Drosophila melanogaster: one gene and its partners. Changing the gene in region 1 together with any one later gene gives a genetic interaction. Each region holds a gene or a part of one and is shown in the gene's direction. Other genes may lie near its edges.

The links.
Region 2: of Sema2a (region 1) and Dg, changing one enhances a phenotype caused by changing the other (phenotypic enhancement), as found in Drosophila melanogaster (one study listed by BioGRID).
Region 3: of Sema2a (region 1) and kay, changing one enhances a phenotype caused by changing the other (phenotypic enhancement), as found in Drosophila melanogaster (one study listed by BioGRID).
Region 4: of Sema2a (region 1) and Kr, changing one enhances a phenotype caused by changing the other (phenotypic enhancement), as found in Drosophila melanogaster (one study listed by BioGRID).

Annotation. Positions count from the first base shown.
Region 1 is NT_033778.4:16,514,581-16,519,150, forward strand, and holds the start of Sema2a (semaphorin 2a), read left to right. Parts: upstream 1-1,569; 5' UTR 1,570-1,690; intron 1,691-1,873; exon of another isoform or gene 1,874-1,953; intron 1,954-2,339; exon of another isoform or gene 2,340-2,438; 5' UTR 2,439-2,595; coding exon 2,596-2,761; intron 2,762-4,570. UniProt on the Drosophila melanogaster protein: Ligand for transmembrane receptor PlexB. Plays a role in growth cone guidance. Required for both proper adult behavior and survival. Can function as a selective target-derived signal that inhibits the formation of specific synaptic terminal arbors.
Region 2 is NT_033778.4:16,095,557-16,100,113, reverse strand, and holds the start of Dg (dystroglycan), read left to right. Parts: upstream 1-1,549; 5' UTR 1,550-1,986; intron 1,987-4,557. Other genes in the region: CG8414 (uncharacterized protein), read left to right, coding at 1-420, 479-744; mRpL34 (mitochondrial ribosomal protein L34), read right to left, coding at 813-1,035, 1,099-1,121.
Region 3 is NT_033777.3:29,787,257-29,794,614, forward strand, and holds kay (kayak), read left to right. Parts: upstream 1-1,679; 5' UTR 1,680-2,896; coding exon 2,897-3,598; intron 3,599-4,136; coding exon 4,137-4,464; intron 4,465-4,530; coding exon 4,531-5,768; 3' UTR 5,769-6,857; downstream 6,858-7,358. UniProt on the Drosophila melanogaster protein: Developmentally regulated transcription factor AP-1 binds and recognizes the enhancer DNA sequence: 5'-TGA[CG]TCA-3'. May play a role in the function or determination of a particular subset of cells in the developing embryo.
Region 4 is NT_033778.4:25,225,087-25,231,933, forward strand, and holds Kr (kruppel), read left to right. Parts: upstream 1-1,524; 5' UTR 1,525-1,865; coding exon 1,866-1,902; intron 1,903-2,275; coding exon 2,276-3,747; 3' UTR 3,748-6,308; downstream 6,309-6,847. UniProt on the Drosophila melanogaster protein: Krueppel is a gap class segmentation protein. It is involved in the segmentation of the embryo and in the differentiation of the Malpighian tubules.

The DNA of each region.
Region 1 (4,570 bases):
AAATTATTATTTAATTGACCGCAACTAAAGGATTCCGAGATGAAGAAAGCGAAAGAACTAAACAAAACACATCCCATCTTTTTCCCACACATACATACGTGTGCGAGTATGTGCTACGTGTGAGTGCGTTGTGCCTTTGTTTGTGTACGTGTTGGGGCATACGCGCTGTGCAAAGTGCGCTAAATTAAGCTGTCATTAAGGACTTAATTAAAGTCCTTTGTTGAAAGTTGACATTGTGTGAAAGAAACGTTTGCGAAAACAAATGACAATGGCGACGTTGTCGCTGCTGCACTTGAAAGGCTATCCCCCGAAAAAGGGAAAAAAACCCAAAAATGGCAACCAACATCAAAGCAACTACAAAGCGGCAACAACAATGCGGGCTAGAACGAGAGTGAGTGTGAGAGAGGGAGAGGCAATGAAATAGAGGGATAGAGTGAGTGAACATGTGTCAAAAATTTTCAACAGTATCATGATGCAAGTGCTCCTTTGGTCGCACGGTCGGGTGCGAGGGGGACGACTAGTGTGGTGATTCTGCGAAAACTCATTAGCAGGCAAACAGAGAGAAAAGGCCAGGCAGACACAATCAACCAGTGGCGTGCGCAAGGATTTCTTGTGGGGGTTAGCCAATGATTGCGATCAAAATTATTAAATTTTAGTTGGAAACGTTTGCACTATATTATAAGTTTCTTACCTTTTTTTTCTTTGATGGTCACGTACCACCTGAGCTGATCAGTGCCTCAAACAATCATCATTAACATCTCAGCTGAATAATTGAATAAACTACAGCCCCTACGCCACTGATGGAAACGAAAGCACGCACAGGTGGCACCCGTACAATAGAAAATATCAAGGAGATGCGAAAACATAACCGACTTGCTTTTTAATTAAATATTTTGCCAAGCAGACACTCAAATGCCAGAGACACTAGCAAACTGCGTTTAATTGCCGCTCGAGGCTGCTAAATGCAAGGATTCGTCTGCATACCTGCCATCCATCCATCCATCCTGCCGCCCGTTTTGTGTGTGTCTGGGTTGGCAAATGTTTGCCTATTGCCAAAATTGTCGTTGTCCTTGTTGTCCTTGCTAAAAATCACTTTGCCGCTTCCGCACGGTGAAGTACGAAAATTGAATACCGCCATTCTGCAACGGCATTTTGTGGCAAGGAGCAAGGATTATATCGACAAATGAAAATCCACGACGCTCCACGAATATTAAACAAAGTTTTGTGTCAACAGTTTTTACCTTTTCTTAAGAATAATTTAAGAAATAGTTAAAATCGGCTTGAATACGTCAAAGAAAATATTATATTATATATTAACTAACTTAAAAAGCAAGCGCATTGTAAACAGACAAAAATAAGAAAGCATATTTCAAAGTTAGCCAAAATAAAATCTAAAACTTCTGATATAAAGAGAAAAAGTTATGCAAATTATATATATTTTAAATATTATTTTCAAACACGATCACCATTGTTGGTATATACCAAAAACCCAAACGCGTGACTGCGATAGTCATTCGACTTAAACGCGCTAGCGTTTTTCTCACATCTGCGCGATCGGAGCGATCGTGCGTTGTTGTTGTTTTCTCACTTCTACTTGTTGTCGGTTGTTCTTTTGTGTTTGGTGTTTCCGCTCGAGATTCTTGGGCATTTTACCAGTGTTCCCTTTCGTGGCGGAACTTGTTTCGCATCGGTAAAATATCTGAAATGCATTAGGCTTGCAACTATCTAATTGGCGTTTTGCAGTTCATTCAATTCGGAGTTCGATTTTCGAAATTCCAATAAACCGAAACTCCCAACAACAACTCAAGTGTGTATCTCTGGCTTTGTTGTTGCGTATGTGTGTGTGTGTGAGTGCGTGAGCAAGTTTGTGTGCGTGTGGGTTAAAGGCAAATTTTAAACTGAAAGCAAGGAAATATTTGCAGATTCATCATTTATTTATTGATGCAGTGCCTTGTAAATAGTATAAACTTTAAGAAACGCGCTCGTTCACCTTCCTTGTCTCTTTCCCACTCTCCAGCGTTGAGGAATTTTCATTGTTTCCCAATATTGTTGCTTTTTTTTTTGTTTTTCCGATGCGTGGGCATATAATAAACCAGTTTAACGTTTCCTTTTGCCTTTATCTTCATATCGCACATGCTTTCCGATGGCTAAATGCGTTGAAATCGAATTGAAAACCGAATTGAACACAGAACTGTGTAAAATGCATTACGCCTTTATGCGCCTGCAACGCATACATAATTAATCCGAAACGAAATTGGCACTACGACTGCGGGTCCAAAAAAAAAACATATATATATAAGGAGAAAAAAATAGCAGAGGGGTGCTATAAATCGCCCAAGGAAAGAAGTTTATTTTAAAATCCATTTGCCAGTGAAATCAATTCCATTGCAATTGCCGCAAAAGTGTGTAAAAATAATACAAGTTAAATGTGTTAACAGTTATTCGTGGGAAAAAACGTGCCGGTTTTTATTCATCAAACGGTAAAATCAACAAGCAACCGCCTCTCGCTCGCTCTTGCACTTTAATCCAATTGAGGTTGGTGGGGTCGCATTCGGCCCCCGGTCGACCACCCCTCTCGCTCGCACCGCCCTCGCAATGTCGCTTCTACAGCTATCGCCGCTCCTCGCACTCCTGCTACTCCTCTGCAGTAGTGTGAGCGAGACAGCTGCGGACTACGAGAACACCTGGAACTTCTACTACGAGCGTCCCTGTTGCACTGGAAACGATCAGGGGAACAACAATTACGGGAAACACGGCGCAGGTAACTAGCCAACTAACGGTATAAAAAGGGGCGGGAACACGGATTAAAACACACTTGTAAAATAAATTTTCACTTTTTGTGCCCTTTTTTCGAGGGGCTTTAAAAATTAAAAAAAATGTTAACAAAATCTTTTACTAGTTCACATTTCTTCGTAAAAACTATGTGAAATGTATGTTAATGTTCGTTACACTTAAAACTTAAGAATGAAAACATTATTTAAAACGCTATTTTACAACTTGATCATAACTTAAGTATGTATGAAAAAAATGAATTAAAATTGTTTCGCATTACTTATATTTTGTACAGGGTACTTAAATCGTCGGCTTACACGAATAAGACAGCTTTTTCCCCTTTTTTAACTGCGGCCAATATTATTTTTCAATCTTTCAGGCAACAACAAATTTGTAATTTATTTGCCATAATATTCGCACATGTTCTTTGTGCCTTTATTATTTATCTCGTTTGGTTCGATTTCAATTGCAACTATATTTTTTCGTTTCGGTTTGGGCCATTTTCCATTTCTGGCTCGGAGCATTGTGATTGTTGTTGTTTTTTATAATTTGCATATTAATGCGGTGCATTCATAGTGAATATTGCTGGTCCGCGCAATTGTGAATTGTTGCTATTCATATGCATATTTCATGTTTAAACAAATACCAATAATGTAATCATATTTTAACCATATGCAGTCCTATAATCCACAGAGATAAATCCTGAATGATATATAATTGACTGGGTTCCCTTAATCCCCCCCTCCCCTACCACTCTAGAAAAATGTGAATGCTTTACCATTTAAATGTTCAATCTACCTAGATTTTCCGCTGTATTTTTTTACAAGCCCTCTGTTTCGTAGACTTGGCCAGCTTTATTGAGTCATTAAAGCCTAAAAGTATTTAAAATTCATCTACGAGCGGCCACAAACAGGTTATTCACTTCTCTATGTCTAAGCCATGTTGGATTTTGCCAATAATTTTGGCCAGCATTCATTTATCATCGTGCGGTTGATTGAAAAGTTCCCCAGCATACATTGAATGTGGCTAGAGAACAGCAAAAAGCCATCAAGTATCAAGAACGCAGAAAATGTTGTATAAAAAATTTAAATCTCATTTAGCCAGGCTGGCCAAACAACAACAACAACAACAGCAATCCGGGTCAAGACCAGTAAACATTTTCTAATAGTCCACGTTCCGGAATGCCTGGCATGCCGTCCCCCTTGTCTCCACTATATCTTTAACTATAAGCCATAAGTGCAGCATAAAACTTCACGTGCCGACAACAACTTTTTGGTCCTTGCCGCATGTTGCGCTGTAAACTCAATAGCTAAGCACTTGCCCTAAAGGAAAACGTGAGACGATTAGGGAATCGTTCAAGCTGCTTGCGCATACTTTTCCGGGAGTTATATAGCAAAATCTATATGGGATAAGTCCGAAATGCATGCAGAAGGAGCTACAAAGTTCGAAGGTTGGACATTTGCACCAGATGCACTATATAAACCGATCGGCGGGCCATAAATTAAGGTAAAACCAACTAAACCACAAAAGCCACCGAACTGAATAACAACAAAACTCTAAAATGTCAACTATAAATTCCCCCGTTGATGCGGAATATTTATTGCATGTTTTTTTTTATCTTCTTCTTCTTTTACCCGTCTGTAAATGAAAAAGCACTATTTTCATTGATTTAAATGAAATTAATTGCACTTTATTTTAGGGTAGTACAAAATTTATGCCTCTCTATGGCATTTGTGAGTACCAATGCGGCCGCAACGTCCTCTGTCGCCACCTCGGCCACTTCAATTGGTTGACTCAG
Region 2 (4,557 bases), 420 kb from region 1:
ATCTTGTACAGATTGCCAGTCCCATTCCAATCAATAACTTTGATTCTGTCCTCGACCGGAACAGTCTGTCGCAGATAAAACCAATTATATACTCTGCGGAGGAGTTCAAGATCAATGAAATACCAAAATACACACTCCATAAGCTGATAAGTGCAGTGCCTGCAAGGGAAAAAGGAACTTGGAGTCTCAGCGCCAAGGACATGCGGTACTCCAATCTTCTGGCACGTCTCAGTTCCTGCCTGACTGGAAATGCCAAATCTCTTACAGACTGCCAGCCGTTGGGAGTGTCTTTGGAATCCCTGAAAATCCTGCATCCCACCAGCAAGAATTACTCGCGCGAAGAACTGATTCGAGGCATGGAGGCTAATGTAGTATATCTGTGCCATCACGGAGCAGGTCTGCCCCAATGTTTGGGAATAGGTTTGTACACATTCACGTTCTTTTGTGGCTTATTAATTGAATTCCAAAATTCTTTTAGGTGTGGTTCGCGCCATCGACTACGAGCGCAAGGAGTTATACCTGGTGCCAGCAATGCCGCTACAAAAGATGTCCCTGGTGGATTGTCTTATCCTCGGCGGGGAACAGTCCCTGCCGCAGGGCTTCCTTCGGGATCAGGGCCAAGGTGTGTCCAGCAGTGTGCCCTTCGTGTTCATCCTTGACGATTCGAAATCTTCGAAGAGTATTCAGCAGATCTACCATCGAGCGCCAGCCTTTCTGGGAGTACCAGCGAATCAACGAAACTAAAACTGAGCTTACTGTAGCAATCGCAATCGGATAACATTGTAAATAAAGTTAGGTTTATTAACACAAGGCTAGTGTGACAAATTGTGACGTCCTTTGAGGATCCGGTTCATCAGCACTCGTCGTCCCTCAGGCGTCGACATCCTAGCATTCCAGCCGTGGACATTAATTCTCTTCACCTCCATGGGTTTCGGAAAATGGCAGCGTACTTTCGGTTTCAGCACCGCCCGGTTGAAAGCGTGCTTATCCCGCACGATTAGAGTTTGTGCGGTGCTGACAACCGCCAGGCAGGTCCTGCAATGCCAATGTATGTTATTATACCACTCAAAATAAATGGTATATTCATTATTTACTCGCCTTTGGAGCATTCCTTGCAGCATGTTAAGTAATTTCCAGTTAGTATGACCGCATGAAGTCCGAATAATACCGCCTGAACAGCCGGTAAGCCGCTTTGGCGTTGCCAGACCATTGGGTTCGAAATTTCGAACTTAGCTGCATGCTATTTTACGTTAGCATGTAAAATGCATTACATATAGATGGAATCATACAATTAATCTAAAAAATCGTCATAATATTGGTCAAATGGAAAACCACCATATGGGGACAAATTAGATAAACCGCTTTTAATTGAATGGATCTGAAAGTAACCGAAAACTTTTTAAATATGGAATGAATATGTTTGGTTGTACATATATCGAATTGGTATTGTGCCATCTCTAGCTACCCACGATGGTTGTGGCAGCGCAGCTGTTGCAAATGAATCCACAAGATACATTTCGGTATATTTTCCGCAACGGATTCTTTTCCACCCTCAGTTGCGGTCACACTGCCTAGCCAACAACAACCACAACTCGGTGCCGTTAGGGCTGCGTTTGTTTTCTGCTCCCATTCAGCTGCATAGAAAAGAAAGAAAAGTGAAAAGTGTTCGGAAAACAGGCAGCATGTGAAGCATAATTACTCCACGGAATTACTATCTCAAACGAAATAGTTGTCGCCGAAAAGAAGTGCGTAAAATCGCGAGTGAGCTCGTGAAAATAGAATAAAAAAGCGCTCTGCAATTGAAGAGAAACATTGCTGCAGTCGTGTGTACGTGCGTGTGTTTGTGCGTGCGAGTGTGAGTGTCGCTCTCTGGACGCAATTTCTTTGGCCAAAAGAGTGGGGAAGTGGGGCAGGAGAGTCCCGAATCGAATCCCCGAAACAGGCAATCCGAATCCGAATCCGGTGCATTAAAAATAGCGCAACGAGGTGAGTAAAGATGCAAACTGCAGCATTCAGTTCACGAGCTGATGCCAACAAAAAGAACTCCAATTAGCCATGTCTGCAGCCAGCCAAAAAAATAATGAAGAACGGCAGAAAAAATACAACAAGAAAATCGATTTTCCTGAACTTACAATTTTCTCCGCCTCACTGGGCAAAAGGGGGGGCGAAATGGAGCTTGGGGAGCCGGCTACGGCTCCATAAAGTATACATAAATTGAATTTCGAAACACGGAAGCGAAATGGATGCACTGGACGAAATAATGAATAAATTATTTTGATATCGAAAAGTTATTCTCGTTAGAAAAAGTTTCGCTGAGGGTCTCGAACGCAGTCTGTTTTTATAAAAGCATATTATTTAGCCTTATCAAGCAAGAGGATGAATAAAATTGCATTAAAATGTATTTCGACTAAATTTCGACTTGCTATACTTTATTTCTCTGCGTGTAAAAGGGGGCAGGAGGCTGCACACGGCTGTTGTTCTTGTTTTGTTTGCTGGTGTGGATGATGATGGAAATACTTGCATATGTGTGTGCGTTCTGCACAGAGGGAGATGTAAAAATTGAAAAATCTGACCAGAAGCAGGACCCTCCGACTTTTGGTCCAGTTGTCATGGCCACCGCACTTAACAAATGATTTTAGCGGCCACTTTTTCCCGGATGCGAATGGGGCAGCTGTCACTCCGTTTGCCTCCTCCTCCTTTTCTCCTTTTTCTGATTTCATCTGTCTGCCCCTTTCTATCTTGCTCTCTCCCCGTGTTCTCCAACGTGTGTGTGTGTGTGTGCGTATTTTGATGACGGCACTCAGTTTCCGCCCGCACTGTGATTTTTGGCCATACACGGCACCAATGTTTCAGTACAGTGGAACCTGGTGCGCAGGAACCAAATGAAGTTAAGTTTAAAACTGCATTTACTGCGACCATTTATGAAATTTTTTAAATGAGTTACATTTCAGGTTCTTCTAGATTTGTTTTAATGTGAGTAAACAATTTCTGCTTTAAAACGTAAAACTCACATGTACATAATATACAATTGTTGGCAAAGCAATAAAAACTTATTACTACCATAAAAATAAATAGGTCGACATTTTCAGACGCAAGAACGCATAGAATGTGTGAACAATACGTACAATAGCTTATTGACACAATATTTAGCATTCAGCGGATTAACTCATCAACGTTGGTTTTTGATTGAATGTGTTATATTATCTATTTATGTACATATTATATTATATAATATTTCGGCATAGGCTTTAACTAACTTTATGCTTGCCACTGTTTAAACTGGCTTGGTTTATCATACGTTTTTCCCAATTCGCGAGTGCCTACTGTAGAAAATCCCCGGCATTACCACTCAGTTTTCGGCACTCTTTTGCGGATGCTGCGTACGCAAAAAGGGGACGTCGGCTGTTCTAAGAGGACTAGATGTTTCCTTTTCACTTCCGCCAGCACCCCTAAATTACGTGTCTCTGTGTGAGTGTCTCTGCACGTGTGTGTGTTGCGTGCAAGTGTGTTTGTGTGTGTGGGCCAACAAAATTACTTTTACGAGCATTTAGCATAGGTTGTTGTCCCTTCGCCCATTTCCCCGGTTTCCCTTCGCCACCAGTTAGTTTTATTTTGATGCGTTTTTAATCAGATTGCGTCAATTTGTTGCTGGCCCAACGATGAGGGCGGTCCCGGTGGAGGGGGGGGGCGTTGGGATTGTCCTATTAGCGCTTGTGTGGGAGTGAGCGACCATTTCCCGGGTTGCGTGTCAAGTGCAGACCCTTTTTTCGCCCGCTTTTTTCACTAATTATAAGAATGTCTGTTTTGGCCTCGCATCTGGATGATGGCTCGTCATTGGGCTTACATTCTCGCTTTTGATGACTCAAAACTTAACTTTTCACTTTTGCAGTTCTCTTTGTGGCACCCACGCAATTAATTGGATTGATAGATTGAAAGCCTTTTGTTTTTAATTTTAGCAAATTAAATGCAAGAATAATACTTAAATGATTATATAGATATAAACTTTGAAATTTGATTATGATAATATGATAATATGAAAACAACTTGTGCTGAAGGAGAGACAGCCGAAGTTTAGGCACCAATTTGCCAGCAAAAGATAACAAGAATTCATTGAATTATGTTTGTTTTAACCAGTTAGGTTATGCATTCTTATGTAAAGTTTACCTTTTCTATAAACTGTAACTGATGTTAAATTTCATTTTTTGTATTCGTTAGTTAGTTAGTAAGGGGATCAACACTTCGTTGTTCAGTCGCCTTGTTTTTCTTAGTACCAATTCTTTTTGCTTTGCGCTTCTCCGTGGCCCGTTAAAGTACAGAAATACTTGGCCAGGCCGGCCGGAGTGCGAGTATCGTATCTATCATGGCGGCAGCTGTCCAATTCTCCAACCAGCCGGCACTGGATCGCTGTTTGTTGTTGTTGCTCTTGTATCTGCTGTCTGTCGTCTTCATCAACGCCTTAGTATCTGTGTTCGCTTGCTTATTTATTTGTGTGCGAGAGTGAGTAAGTGGCGCTGTGTGTGTTGTTGGCTTGAACTTTATGGCATTGCGTTGTTTTAT
Region 3 (7,358 bases), on another chromosome or scaffold:
ACGTCAGCTGAAAGCAGAAGGCAAAGTCTCGGGCCCGAGAATTTCTTAGCCACTCAACTTGTTGCATCTTCACCTTCCTCCTCTGCCCAGCGTTTAAAAACATGTGAATGTGTTTTTGAACTAATTAGAGCCAAGGTCAAAGTTGATGGTCTAATCAAAATGATAGCGCGGATTTACAGGCAATTGATAAGTTTGAGTTTTCAGGGAATTCCTTTGGGAAGTGGCAATTTTTAGGTTTTGAAATATTTTTGTAAGTTGCAGTCACCATACATTTATTTAGGGGCCACTTTGGTTTGGCTTGAACCGCCCGCAAATCAAATTTGCAGCAGTCGCGTGTATTAGTCAGCAATTTGTTGCTTTTCGCTACGTCAGTGTTTTACTTTTTCTTTTTTTTTTTTACTCTCCACTGCTGGCTGTTCGATGTTCGCTGCTCGTTTCATTTGGTTCATAATTGACCCCCAGATGTGAACTCGGTGTCCGGAGATATGACTCTGTCCAACGTTCCGATAGGAGAATCGAGATCGCCATCCGAGCTGGCTGGCAAGCAATTTAGACAATTCAATTCGCCGCGCTTGATTGCCAGCATTCTATATCATCACTTGTTTTGCATACGTACATTTTCCAAATTGACTGATTCATCATCGGCTAAATGCGGTTCATGTTCGCGAGGGACAAGTTCAAATGGCAAAAAAGTGGGTTAAAACGAAAGTAGCCAGCCAAACAAAGGTGGCCAAACAGCCAAGGCGGCCGAGTTGAAAGTAAATTTCGCATACGAAATTAAAAAGTAAATATATCACAAAGAATAAAATCGATTGTTTGCTGTCAATAAGGGAACGGCCTTTGGGATTGGGAAACACGGCTGCGATAAGATCGTCAAATAAATAAGCACACAAGCCGCTCGAACTCGCTGCACGGAGAGAAAAGAAGGCATACTACTTCAAAAATGTAGCCCCAGTGCAACTGGTATGTGTGTGTGTGTGTGTTGCTCTTAGCCCACAACAAAAGCCAGCAATTAGCGTATTGGCCAACTTGCTGGCGACGGAAATAAACGCTCTTGGCGAGACAGGGGGTCTGAACTGAACTGAACTGAACTGAAAACATAGTTAATGTGGATGTGCCACACGCACACACCTGTTCGTGGGACATCTGTCGAATCGGACATGTGTATATATGTATGTAGCTTATGTTTACTCGGAATCATCGCTTTTGGCCAAAACATTGGGCCTGATTTATGGGCAACTGAAAGGCTTTTCCGTGGAAGCGAAGAATGAGCCTCTGGCAAGTTCGGCAAATCGGAAGCAGAAGCATATACATATGTACATAAGCCACCACCACATTCTACTATAGCTAACTAAATGTACATATTTCGCTTTGAATGCGGCAAAAGCGAGCGTGGTCGTCGTGTGGGCAGCCGCTCAATTAAGAGCAGCCAGCGTTTAGGATCATTTGATTTCCCAGCGGCTGTCTTCTAATTTGAGCAGCCAGCTCGCACAACACACGCCCAGCAGACAGCAGACAGCTCTCCGGATTCGGATGCGGGTTCGGGTTCTCTAGTAGTTCTCAAGATATATAAATATATATATGATATGTATATATATACATATATATGCATACATCTGCGGCGATCTCTCGATCGCGATCGTTGCCAATTTCGCTCGCCGGAGATTCTGATGCGATTCAGTCGCAAACGAACAACGAACCATCGAAGTTTAGAAAATATCTAACAATTAAAAGCGATCGCGCGCGCGCTTTTCCTCGAATCGCATCGCATCGAATCGAAACGCGAAACTCAAACAACGAAACGAAAATAAATTTGGAAAACTGCAATTGTCGTTGGGTTTTCGGTGCGCGTGCATTGCCAAAACGAATCAGGAGCAAAAAAAACGAATCAGTCGGCTATATGTACATATATACATATAGACGCAAAACAACGCACATTTCTCGGCTGCAAGCGCGTGGATCGAAATATATATGCCATACGAATATACATATATATATATATATATATGTAAATATAGCCAAACCCAGAAATAAAAGCGCAAAGGGAGGCATAACACTCGCTGTGTTGAGAGGCGTTGCCCATGGCCGAGGAATTTCTGAATACAACAAATGCAGCATTAATTGAACTAGCTCAAGGCTCCATGTCCGTGTAAATCTCTATAATTATATAATAATCGAATTTGCGGCTCACACAGTGGAGCGACTTAAACTGGACACGTGTCGCTGGATTTTGGGCCTCGCACACTTACGATAAACTGCGTCGATTATGAGCGCTTTCGCCGAGCGGAATGTGCGTTTCAATCCTTTGCGAAATCAGCAAACGCTTATCGTTAAGCGGCTGAGACCGCCGGAGAGCCAAAACTTCAAGAACTGAGCAATCGAACAACGAACATATACGAAATCTGCTCACGGCTCGCAGCTAGCAAGAAGTCAAATCAAACGAACCCTTTTTCTTTATTAGGAAAGAGCCAACGCAGAAAGCAAACGAAATACACAATACACACAAAAAAAAGAAGCTATGAAACAAAGCCAAAAACGAACGAATTTCTAAGCAACTAGAACAACACTGCGACAACAAACAGCATAGGAGCATCCAAACGAACGGAATTATAAAGACAAGAAAGGATCATCAGCACATTGTTAGGAAACTTTGGGAACAGAGTCCCAATTTGTACATATACTCTAGTTTAGCTAGTAACTAGATTCTTAGATTGTTGAATTGTTTTTGTTGATTTTGAATACAATTCGCATATATCATTGTTGTCCCAATTGTTGTGTTAGCTTAGCTAGGCTAAGAACCCCAACGAATACTAGTCAGCCGCCCAACTGTGCGTATACGCAACGCGAGTGCGTATACTTAATATTTAGGTTTAGATCGATAAGCAGCGAACAAATGATGAAAAATCTCAACGGTAGGACGCACAATGCGTGCTACCATCCCTACTACCACCAATCGCTGCATTTTGCTCAGCAGCAGCAGCAGCAGCAGCAGCATCATCTGCAGCAACAGCAGCAACATATGCAGCAGCAGCAGCAGCAACAGCAAGCGCCGCAGCAACAGTTGCGTCATCAGCAACGGCAACTGCCCACGCAGCCAGCCTACCAGCAATCGCAATCGGTTGCCCACAATGCTTTTCCACTGCGCAGCAGCAGCAACAATTATGGCCATGTTGCTAGCAGCGCCTACGCTGCCAGCAGCGGCAGTCACAACAGCAACAATGCGGCTGCCATGGCCGCCGTCTGCCAAATGCAGAATTTTTTCAACCAGCAACAGCAGCAGCAGCAGCAACTGGAGTTCAACAACAATTGCATGCCCATTAATTACTACCAGCAGCAGCAGCAGCAACATTACCCTTCCGAGTCCCAGTCCTCCGCCTCCGGCTGGAATCCCGAAACCCCTGGGCAGGCGCAACTCGCCTTGACGGCCACAACATGCAACACCACTGCAGCTGCAACATGCAACACCACTGCAGCTGCAACAACGAGCACAACTGCAACATCTGCTGCCGCTGGCAGCGACAACAACCACAGCGACAACTTTGCAATGGACGCCAGTGAGATAGCCACTTTCCTCGCCAACGAGCTTTTCCTACAGCAGGTACCACAGATCGATCGATGATGATGCCTCCGATTCTGGTCGAGATTGGGATAGATTTGGGCGCGAAACAATTGGCAAGCGGCATGCGTACTTAATCATCGCCGAAAATAGAACAAATGCGGAACAACAAAGGGGTGGGCAAATATAAACAAAGTGATGGATTGGCCGCCTCTCTTTCGGTTTCTTCATCTCTCTTCGCCTCTTTTTTTTTCGTTTTTTGTTTGGCCAAAAACACGTTCGCTAATTCGCTAGAAATGTACGGATAAGCAAGAGGTCTTACAGACTTAGCAATAGCTTTTGATGTTGACTGATATCTGAACTCGACCCAAATTACTCATGTGATAAGAATAAATTCCCAAACATCCTTAAGCTATTCGCGGGCAACACTGCGTATGCGTGATATATGTATACTGATATGGCATTGTAGAGGGTTTCGTGCTTGTCATGAGCTTTAATGAGCGTTAATAGTAATCCATCTTCTCAGATACTTGCACTCATAGATGTCTTTACTAATCATGCACCTTTTCTGCTCTTGCAGCTCGGCAACTTTGAGACCGGCCAGAGTGTTCTCACACTGACGACGCCCACGTTGACGCCGACCACCACGCGCAACATCGAGGACACACTGGGCCACTTGCTCTCGGACACGCAGACCGATCGTGTGGCTGGTTGCGCGGGATTTGCAGTGCCAAAGGTGCTACCCAATGCCATTGATGTCCTGGGCATGGGTATTCCCACCGGTGTTTCGTCGCTCCCACTTCAGCAGACATTCGATTTGAGCCTGGGGCAGGGCAGCGAGTCCGAGGACTCCAACGCTTCGTACAACGATACGCAGATGAACGAGGAGCAGGACACGACCGATACTTGTAAGTGAAGCTGGCACGAATTGCTCCGAATGTCTACTAACTCCCTTTTATTTCATACGCCTGCAGCAAGTGCCCATACGGACAGCACCTCGTACCAAGCTGGCCACATCATGGCGGGCAGCGTGAACGGCGGCGGTGTCAACAACTTCTCCAATGTCCTGGCCGCCGTGAGCTCTAGCCGCGGATCGGCGTCGGTGGGCAGCAGCAACGCGAATACCTCAAATACGCCGGCTCGTCGTGGCGGTGGCAGACGCCCCAACCGGTCGACGAACATGACCCCGGAGGAGGAGCAGAAGCGGGCCGTGCGCCGGGAGCGGAACAAACAGGCGGCGGCCCGTTGCCGCAAGAGGCGCGTGGACCAGACCAACGAGCTCACCGAGGAGGTGGAGCAGCTGGAGAAGCGGGGCGAGAGCATGCGCAAGGAGATCGAGGTGCTGACGAATAGCAAGAATCAGCTGGAGTACCTTCTGGCCACCCACCGGGCCACCTGCCAAAAGATTCGCTCCGACATGCTGAGCGTGGTCACCTGCAACGGTCTGATTGCCCCGGCCGGACTCCTGAGTGCAGGGAGCAGCGGCAGCGGCGCGAGCAGCCATCACAACCACAACAGCAACGACAGCAGCAACGGCACGATTACGGGCATGGACGCCACGCTGAACTCCACCGGGAGGAGCAATTCACCCTTGGATCTCAAGCCGGCGGCGAACATCGATAGCCTGCTGATGCACATCAAGGACGAGCCACTCGATGGCGCCATCGACTCAGGATCCAGCCTGGACCAGGACGGTCCGCCGCCCAGCAAGCGCATCACCTTGCCGCCCATGTCCACGATGCCGCACGTTCACTTGTCCACGATATTAACGCCCACCGGCGCCTCGTCGGGATCTCTGCAGACGCCGATCACGAGCACGGCGCCCGGCGGATTCGGCAGCGCCTTCCCGGTGACCTCCAACGGCAGCAGCATCAACAACATCAACAGCATCGGCAACAACATGAACTCTCCCACGCTGAATGCGCATAACAAGGTGCCTAAGGAGCGGCCCAATACGCTGGCTTTCCAGCGTCCTCTGGGCCAGATGCACCTCACCATGGCCAACAACAAGGCGGGTGGGCCCACGCAGATCCAGGGCGTGCCCATCCAGACGCCCTCGACCGGCACCTTCAACTTCGACTCCCTGATGGACGGCGGCACTGGGCTAACGCCCGTCTCCGGACCCCTCGTACCGAACAGCTCCTCCACGAACAAGCACCCGCTGGAGCTGCCCACGCCCACCGCCGAGCCGTCCAAGCTGGTCAGCTTATAACCGGACCGGATCTGGGACGGGGATGGGGGCCGAGTCAGGATTAAGTTAAGTTTTATATAGTTGGCAGGCAAACAACGGAAGGAAACCGCGAAGCACTTTTCTAGTTGTAGGAGATGTTTTCATTTTTGTAATATGCTGTAATATGCGTAAACGTGACGAATGTGTTGTTTCGTTAACTCTAATGTTTTTGTATTATTATCTTTATTATGGTTAATTTATGATTTCGCTATGTCTTTTACATACGCCGAGGAGCTATGTACATATGTTATGTACTTGTAATTTGTGCAATTTTCAAACCTCTTCATTGCGCGTTGTATATTTTCAAAAAATATAAGAACGCGAACGCGAACGCGAACGACCGACGATGCATGATGAGAATGATAAGGATAATGATGATAATAGGGCGTGTAGATTTGCAGGATGCGTTGTGATATTTATTATAAAACGAATACAAAAGATGCGAGGATGAAACAAAGTAGAAAGCAAACAGGAGCGTCTAATGAAAGGAACTAAGCCGGTTTTAAAATTGTACATTTAAACGAATCGTAAAGCGTAAATATACTATAAAACAAAACAAAGTGAATATATATTCAGCATACAAACTAAATACAATGCCTTGAGAGAGAATTAAGAAATGCAAACCTTTATATATAGAGATCTACATACATATATGTATGCATGTACATTTAAAGCTAAACAATAATGGCGTTGAAGCGAGTTTTATATTGAGCAAAAGCAAATGTGAAATGAGATAAATATACTTATTGTGTACTCTGTAAGCTGCAGTAGAAACCAAAATATATTTTTACTAAACGCAACATTGCGCTATTTTCAAATACCATTTATAAGAAATGACAAAAGCAAAGCAATTATTTAATATGTAATTATGTATTATGTATACCTATATCTACCTACCCACAACCTTAAATCAAAAAACCCAAAACGATTCAACAAAAGCTGATCAGGTAAAGCAACTCTCGCCAGTTTCCACACTAAATTCTCAGAATATTCAAAATTTTAATCTATACAAAACCAAACCGATTGATAGCAAATAAATGCACTTATAAGGGCAGAAAAACACCAAAATTTAAAAATGAAATGGAATAAAATAGAAATAAAAAGACCGACAAAACCTAAAGACGATTTGTGGAATTATTTCTGAAGTTATAGCGATTCACATGACTTGCAAATGGGCTGGCTCGTCGTCAGGTAAACATATCAGGTAGATTAGGGTGGACCAACAAAGGCTGCATTCTCAATTTCTGCAGACTTCTTCAAGCGATTTGAAGTACTTACTTATGGAAGTAAACCTCATTGAGAAAATGGCTCTAATGTGAAAATGCGATCATTCAAGTTATGAAAACATTATGAGATAGAAACACCTAGTTGCTGCCATAAAGACCAGTCTGAAGGGCAGGTAAACGCAGCCGTGTTCTTCCACTCGTCTGATAATGGCACAAACGAGTATATATGTACATACAACACACGCTGCATATATTCATTTTCGGGTTTGCCTTATTTTGCATTTTTTTTTGTTTTTTTTGGGATCTGTTGCTTTCGGTGCAGCCACGAATCGCGGATCTCTGTTTC
Region 4 (6,847 bases), 8.7 Mb from region 1:
ACCAAAAAAAATTTCTGACTAATCGCCGAAACATAGGAATCGTATGAAGATTTTCTAAAACCGGTCAGCTCAGCCCGAAATTTAAGAATTTCTTATCAATAGGGTCAGTTTTAAGCGCTTTGCTTGCATATTATTTAATGCCTTCTGCGAATTTTGTTTTGGTGAAAAACTTTCTATGAAGTCGAACATTCGATGACAAAACCATTATAATTTTACGTAACATTATGCAGAGCAAGGATATTTGTGTGCCTTTCTGCTTTTGTTTGGTTTCACTTTCTTAAAATCCACGGTAGTTCAAATTTACCACCCGGTGAGCTCTGAGCGTCCTTGGCCTACCTACAAAACCAAAAATACCGATTTTCAACATAAATTTAACATAGCATGTCCTTGCCATAAAAATCTACATAAAACCATTTAAAAGTCAATCCGCAAAAGTCACAGAAAACGTCTATACAAGCAAGAAAATTTCAACGATGCAGCTCTCTTACAATTTTTTATTATATTTCCTTTCTACCTGAATCCGTTTTTTACTAGTTCCTTTTTACGATTTCTTTTTTAGACGTGTGCCAATAATTAGTTGTCCATTAAACTGAACTTCCACGTCTTTGAGACTTTGCTCAACAGGCTACAAGGAAGACAAAAAACTCACTCAGTATAGCTGGTAAAAAACCGTCGACCTTCTTTCTTACTTTCTGCACTCCTTAAGCCGATGTTTTGTTTACTTCCTGTTTACTCGTACAGCGCACGCTTGAAATTCAACCCCGTCCGTGACATCTCTTTTCATGAATTTTGGCTCTTTTGCTCTCGCTGTTTCATTTTCGCCCTGTTCTCCATTGGCGTTCATCCCCCTTAGACACATTAGTTATTTTCTATAGCTCAAATGTAAAAAGGGGAAATGACAAAGGCACATCTGAGTGAGTTTTTGTTGTGCGTCCCTTACTAACTCTAAAAACTTCTACGTGATCTTTATGTGGTGTAATATTCCTGCAAGTGCAGTTTTTATGAAGGCTCTAAAAAACACAAGCGGAAGTGGTCATAAGCATTAAAAAATGTCCTTTAACGGTCAACACATAGTTCTGATTTTTTATGTTTTATTACTGACTAGAAACGTAAAGGTCATAAAACCCTCTACTCAGCGAAGATAATTCGCATCGACAACCTATGTTAAAAAACCACATCGTCCATATTTGACTCTAACTGACTATATATCTTTTGCATTGAAAGGAACCTCTAGCTGTCTCATTCGCACCAATTTGCATATGAAAAATTAGCACTTTTAGGTATAAAAAGGAATCGATGAAATCAACTCACTCAACTCAGCGAAGTACCCAGTTTTTACTTTACCTGCTCAGGCTTGGGGATCGTTTTTCGCTTTCGCCGTGATGATTTCCCTTCCTGTCTGCACCCTTATTTGCGTGCGTGTGAGCGGGAGAGCCAATTGAGTCCCGGCGTGTGTGCGTACGAGGGTGAGTGAGAATCTTTCGCCGAGACAGAGCGTACTTATAGTTAGCTCACGCAGCGAATTTGTATCAGTCGTGATTTGGCTCTGTCAGCGAAAGGAACAACCATTTGTTGTGCCACACACAACCGCGAGTAATATAATCGAATCAAATTTCAACTACCTCATTTTGCTAAATCGGTAAACTTTTATAAAAGACAATTTTTGTGAAATCTCTCTACCTCAAAGTACAAAAGTGTGTACAAAAATTATTCATATCCCTGAAAGTGCACAAATTGCTCAAATGAAATTTTGTTGTCTAAAAAACTGAAGCTCCAAAACCACGAAGGCGAATATTATAGGTGTTTTCTGTGTGCGGGAAAACATTGCGCGAGCACAAAATTAGGAGCACAAGAAGAATTTGTTGATGTCCATATCAATGCTTCAAGACGCACAAACGCGAAGTAAGTATTAGACCAAATTAAAATATTCCCCAAGTTTGTAAACTATCTAGAAGTTCTAGAGTCCCCGATCACTTTCTCATTATTAAACAGTCCGATGTCTTTAGGATAGAAAATACAAATGTAATGTAATTGCACACATACCGATTAGTTAGAATTTGTTTACATGTTTGGACAGGAACCGGCACTTAACTCGTTATCGACCAAAACAAAAACTAGTTAGACGAAAATAGAGAGCTGCGAAAACACTAAGAGTTCTCTCCGTACGAAACTTTCTCTCACACATGTATCATATGTAAAATTTTTTTCTCTTTTAAGCCGTTGCTCTTAAGACATTTCCAAATGAAAACATACTAACTTATGATTTTTTTTTTAGCCTTAGCTGCTGCATTAGCTGGCATAAAACAAGAGGACGTTCATCTAGACCGTTCCATGTCGCTATCGCCCCCCATGTCGGCCAACACATCAGCTACAAGCGCCGCTGCGATTTATCCAGCTATGGGTCTCCAACAGGCGGCCGCTGCCTCAGCTTTTGGAATGCTCTCACCTACCCAACTTCTGGCTGCAAACCGTCAAGCTGCCGCATTCATGGCCCAACTGCCCATGAGCACATTGGCCAACACTCTCTTTCCACACAATCCGGCGGCTTTGTTTGGGGCTTGGGCTGCCCAACAGTCGCTCCCGCCCCAGGGTACGCATTTACATTCGCCGCCAGCCAGCCCGCACTCGCCGCTGTCCACTCCTTTAGGTAGTGGCAAGCACCCATTAAATTCCCCCAACAGCACTCCCCAGCACCATGAGCCAGCGAAGAAGGCTCGAAAGTTATCGGTTAAGAAGGAGTTTCAGACCGAGATCAGCATGAGTGTAAACGATATGTACCATACATCGGGAGGCCCAATATCTCCGCCTTCCAGTGGCAGCTCTCCTAATTCAACGCACGACGGAGCGGGTGGAAATGCTGGATGTGTCGGTGTCTCCAAGGATCCATCTCGCGACAAAAGCTTCACCTGTAAAATCTGCTCACGCAGCTTTGGCTATAAGCACGTGCTTCAGAACCACGAACGCACCCACACCGGTGAGAAGCCTTTCGAATGTCCGGAGTGCCACAAGCGGTTTACTCGTGACCATCACTTAAAAACCCACATGCGTTTGCATACTGGAGAAAAACCATATCATTGCTCGCACTGCGATCGTCAATTCGTTCAGGTGGCCAATCTTAGACGACATTTGCGAGTCCACACTGGAGAGCGTCCCTATACTTGTGAAATCTGCGATGGCAAATTCAGTGACTCCAATCAGCTTAAGTCCCACATGCTGGTACACAACGGTGAAAAGCCGTTCGAGTGCGAACGGTGTCACATGAAGTTCCGACGGCGCCACCATCTGATGAATCACAAGTGTGGCATCCAGTCGCCGCCTACTCCCGCGCTTTCACCGGCCATGAGTGGAGATTACCCCGTGGCAATCTCCGCAATTGCTATCGAGGCATCCACGAATAGATTTGCGGCAATGTGTGCCACCTACGGAGGTTCGAATGAGTCGGTCGACATGGAAAAAGCGACACCGGAGGACGATGGTCCATTGGATTTGTCTGAAGATGGAGCCAGCTCTGTGGATGGCCATTGCAGCAACATCGCACGGCGCAAGGCACAGGACATTCGTCGGGTTTTCCGGCTGCCTCCACCGCAAATCCCTCACGTACCCAGTGATATGCCTGAGCAAACCGAGCCAGAGGATTTGAGCATGCACTCTCCTCGCTCTATCGGATCTCACGAGCAAACCGATGATATTGACTTGTATGATTTAGATGATGCCCCGGCTTCTTATATGGGCCATCAACAACATTAGGCCAGTACCACACCGAATTGTACATAGCCCTAATCAGTTTTCATTTGATGAAATTGACTGGCATTTATTAACACAAAATTGAAAATTTTGCTATTTCAAAGTGGAAAGTAAAAATTGTTGCAACAGGAATATAATGATAAGTACAAGTTTAAAAAAAAATAACATACAAAAAAGTCGAAATTGTACAAAGTAAGCCATACCGTATGCTTGTTACCGCCAAACCCCACCAAATCAAATCGAAAATGTCGTGCCATTCTTTACCTTAAATTTAAGTTATATTCTTAGGTTCGGAATCTTAAATTGTACATATTCAGCTTACACAGCTGCCAATTGTAAAGTAATCGGCGCTCTAAACATGCATTGTTGCAGAAAAATAAAAGACACGAAGTTTAATTAGGAAATCTATAACTAATTTTATTTAATTTATTAGCTTAATTTTTTATAATTTAATCAAATTCTTTAAGAAAACAATGCCAATAATCTTCAAATCAAAACTAACTTTAAGTTAAATAATAAAAAACATTTGTTTGATAATTGTTCTGTTTGCATTCTCTATTTAAAACTATTATTAAATATAAAAATTTAGTTAATCCTGTTTTTTTAAAGATCATTCTTAAATGTACACTTTTATATTTATACTTCAATAAATATTTGGTTTAATTGTTGCTGCTTCAAATATAAACAATAAAGAAAAAAGAAAATCAATGGTAACGTTAATATTTAACTGATTCCGCTTTTATTTCATATTGCCATAACTTAAACACAGTTTACGCATCCATTTTTGAAAATCTTTTTTTTTTTGTTGCAAACTATAAGAAACGTTAATATATATTCCAAAATAATAACCTAATGTAGATCAATGCGTATCGAAAGTATAGTAATCCCACTTATCTTAACACTCGTAACTATTAGTTTTAATTGTAAGACTTGAACCAAATACACAGGAAGAAATTGCTATAACCAAATACCTCCAATACCTCTGTATCGAAATTGTTGTGAGCTAAACAGTATATACATTCAACAATTTGGCAATCGTACAATTCAACTGAATTTATATACAAGACTTAGGAATATAAACTACGAAGCATAAACAATTTATATGTATTAAAATTTTGATGCATATTTAAATGGACCTAAAATAAGAAATTAATTTTAAATACTAGGCCAATTCAAATTACATATAAAAGTATATAAGGTTGTATATAACAATAACAATTTGAAATAAATTTAGTGCAATTTTTCGTTCTATTCATTGGTAAGCTTACTGCTTTTATTTTAAAACGTTGTAGTCATAATAATGTAACAAATTAATATGTAATTTTCTTTGTTCATTCAAATGTATGGTATACAAGTTCCTCAAGATTAAAAGAATACAAGAGCTATAAACTAAAATAGAGAGTGCATTTCTAATCATTTGAAAGTCAGCGCACGAAAGACATCATATTAATTGTGTACAGCAACATTCGACGTTTAACCCAATAGATATAATTAAATTTATAAAATCACAAGTCAATTTTTATGTAAATAAATTATAATCCTAATTGTGGCTAGGGATGTGCAATGTATCAAAAAATAAGAGTTATATGTGTTAATTAGGGGGTTGCTAATTTTAACCCTTTAAAGACATACACACATACACCTTGTAAAATACGTCAGTAAATATAAACTAGAAAATGTATTTTATGGTACATGATTGCATTAGATATGTCAGTCTAGCATATAGTAAACGAAACTGTTACTTTTTGTCATAACTATTTCTTCTCTAATTTAATGTTCTACCTATATCAATAATAAATACATATGTATACATCGGCAAATATGTATTTATTACATAAAAATCGAAATATATTATGTTAAATTTAAAAATTGCTGTCTGGGAAACCAAAAATAAATGAATATAAATATATATATGTATATATATGTATATACATATGAGATAATTGTGTAAAGCAAAAAATATTCGTAGCAACCCCGCTTTAGAAAATTACCCACAGCTTTCTTCGATTTTTCGTAAAAGAGAAAACGGGCAGCATTACATAAATTTTTAATTTATGCAAACGAAGCCCTTTCGCATTATTTTACATTTGCCACAAGACGCCCCACTAATGCCGTCGCCACGTTCCTCCCCACGTCACCCCCTTTATTCATCCATCCCTTCACTGGAATTTAAATTTACGTCTGCAGGCAACGGCAGCAGCTGAGCAAAAACGAATATAAAAATCGCGCCGCGCAGTCAGAAAATGTCACAGTGTTTTTTCCATTTAATCTCCAGAGAGAGAGAGCAAACATCTACAATGCTATGAAAGAAAGTCGACGCCACCCACTCATACCAATCGCCTCCCGTTCAGCCATGCCGCGGAACTGACGCCTTCTCTTCTTTGTGCCCCTTTCAACAGCCAAAAAAGGCTTCATCCTGGCAGCCCCCTCTATATAAAATTGTATGTACAAGTATTACATAAAGAACGTCTTATGTACTTACACACGTACATATATAAAACGGAGTAAAAGAGTGAGACGCAGGACAAATGCTCACGTTTTGTGATGCTTATTAGCATTTTAGGCTTTTTTCGCTTAGACTTCTGTAAACATACTCTATGAGCGTATACGTAAATAAAAACAATTCAATAATTAAAAAGTTAAACGTAATGTTAGCCAAATAAACCTTATGCTAAAACTGTTTACCCTAATTTTACCAATAAAAGCTTATTATAAATAAGTTAAAAGAAGAAACGGGAATAAACTGGTAATTGCCAGTTTTATAGTGTAGATAGGTACGTATATCTTATTCGAACCCCCAATCCTCACCCTCAAAAGCTTTTTTTTTAGCTGCCGAGTAAATAGTTTGGTGTTGGACATAGAAAACTTTCAAATGAGTTTACGATTTTTTTAAATATTTCGTGTTCCGCAAAGGAATGAAAAATAAAAGGCCTTGAAAATGAATTTAAGGCCTTCGCTGGCAAAGAACCGCCGACGCACCCAACTTACTGTCGTTATTATTTAAACTGAAAAATTATAATTTTTACCAGCAGACTTCTGCTCACAAATTCTAAGACTGGCGCTTATCCAAGAAAGACATTATTATAAGCTCCCTAAAAGTAAA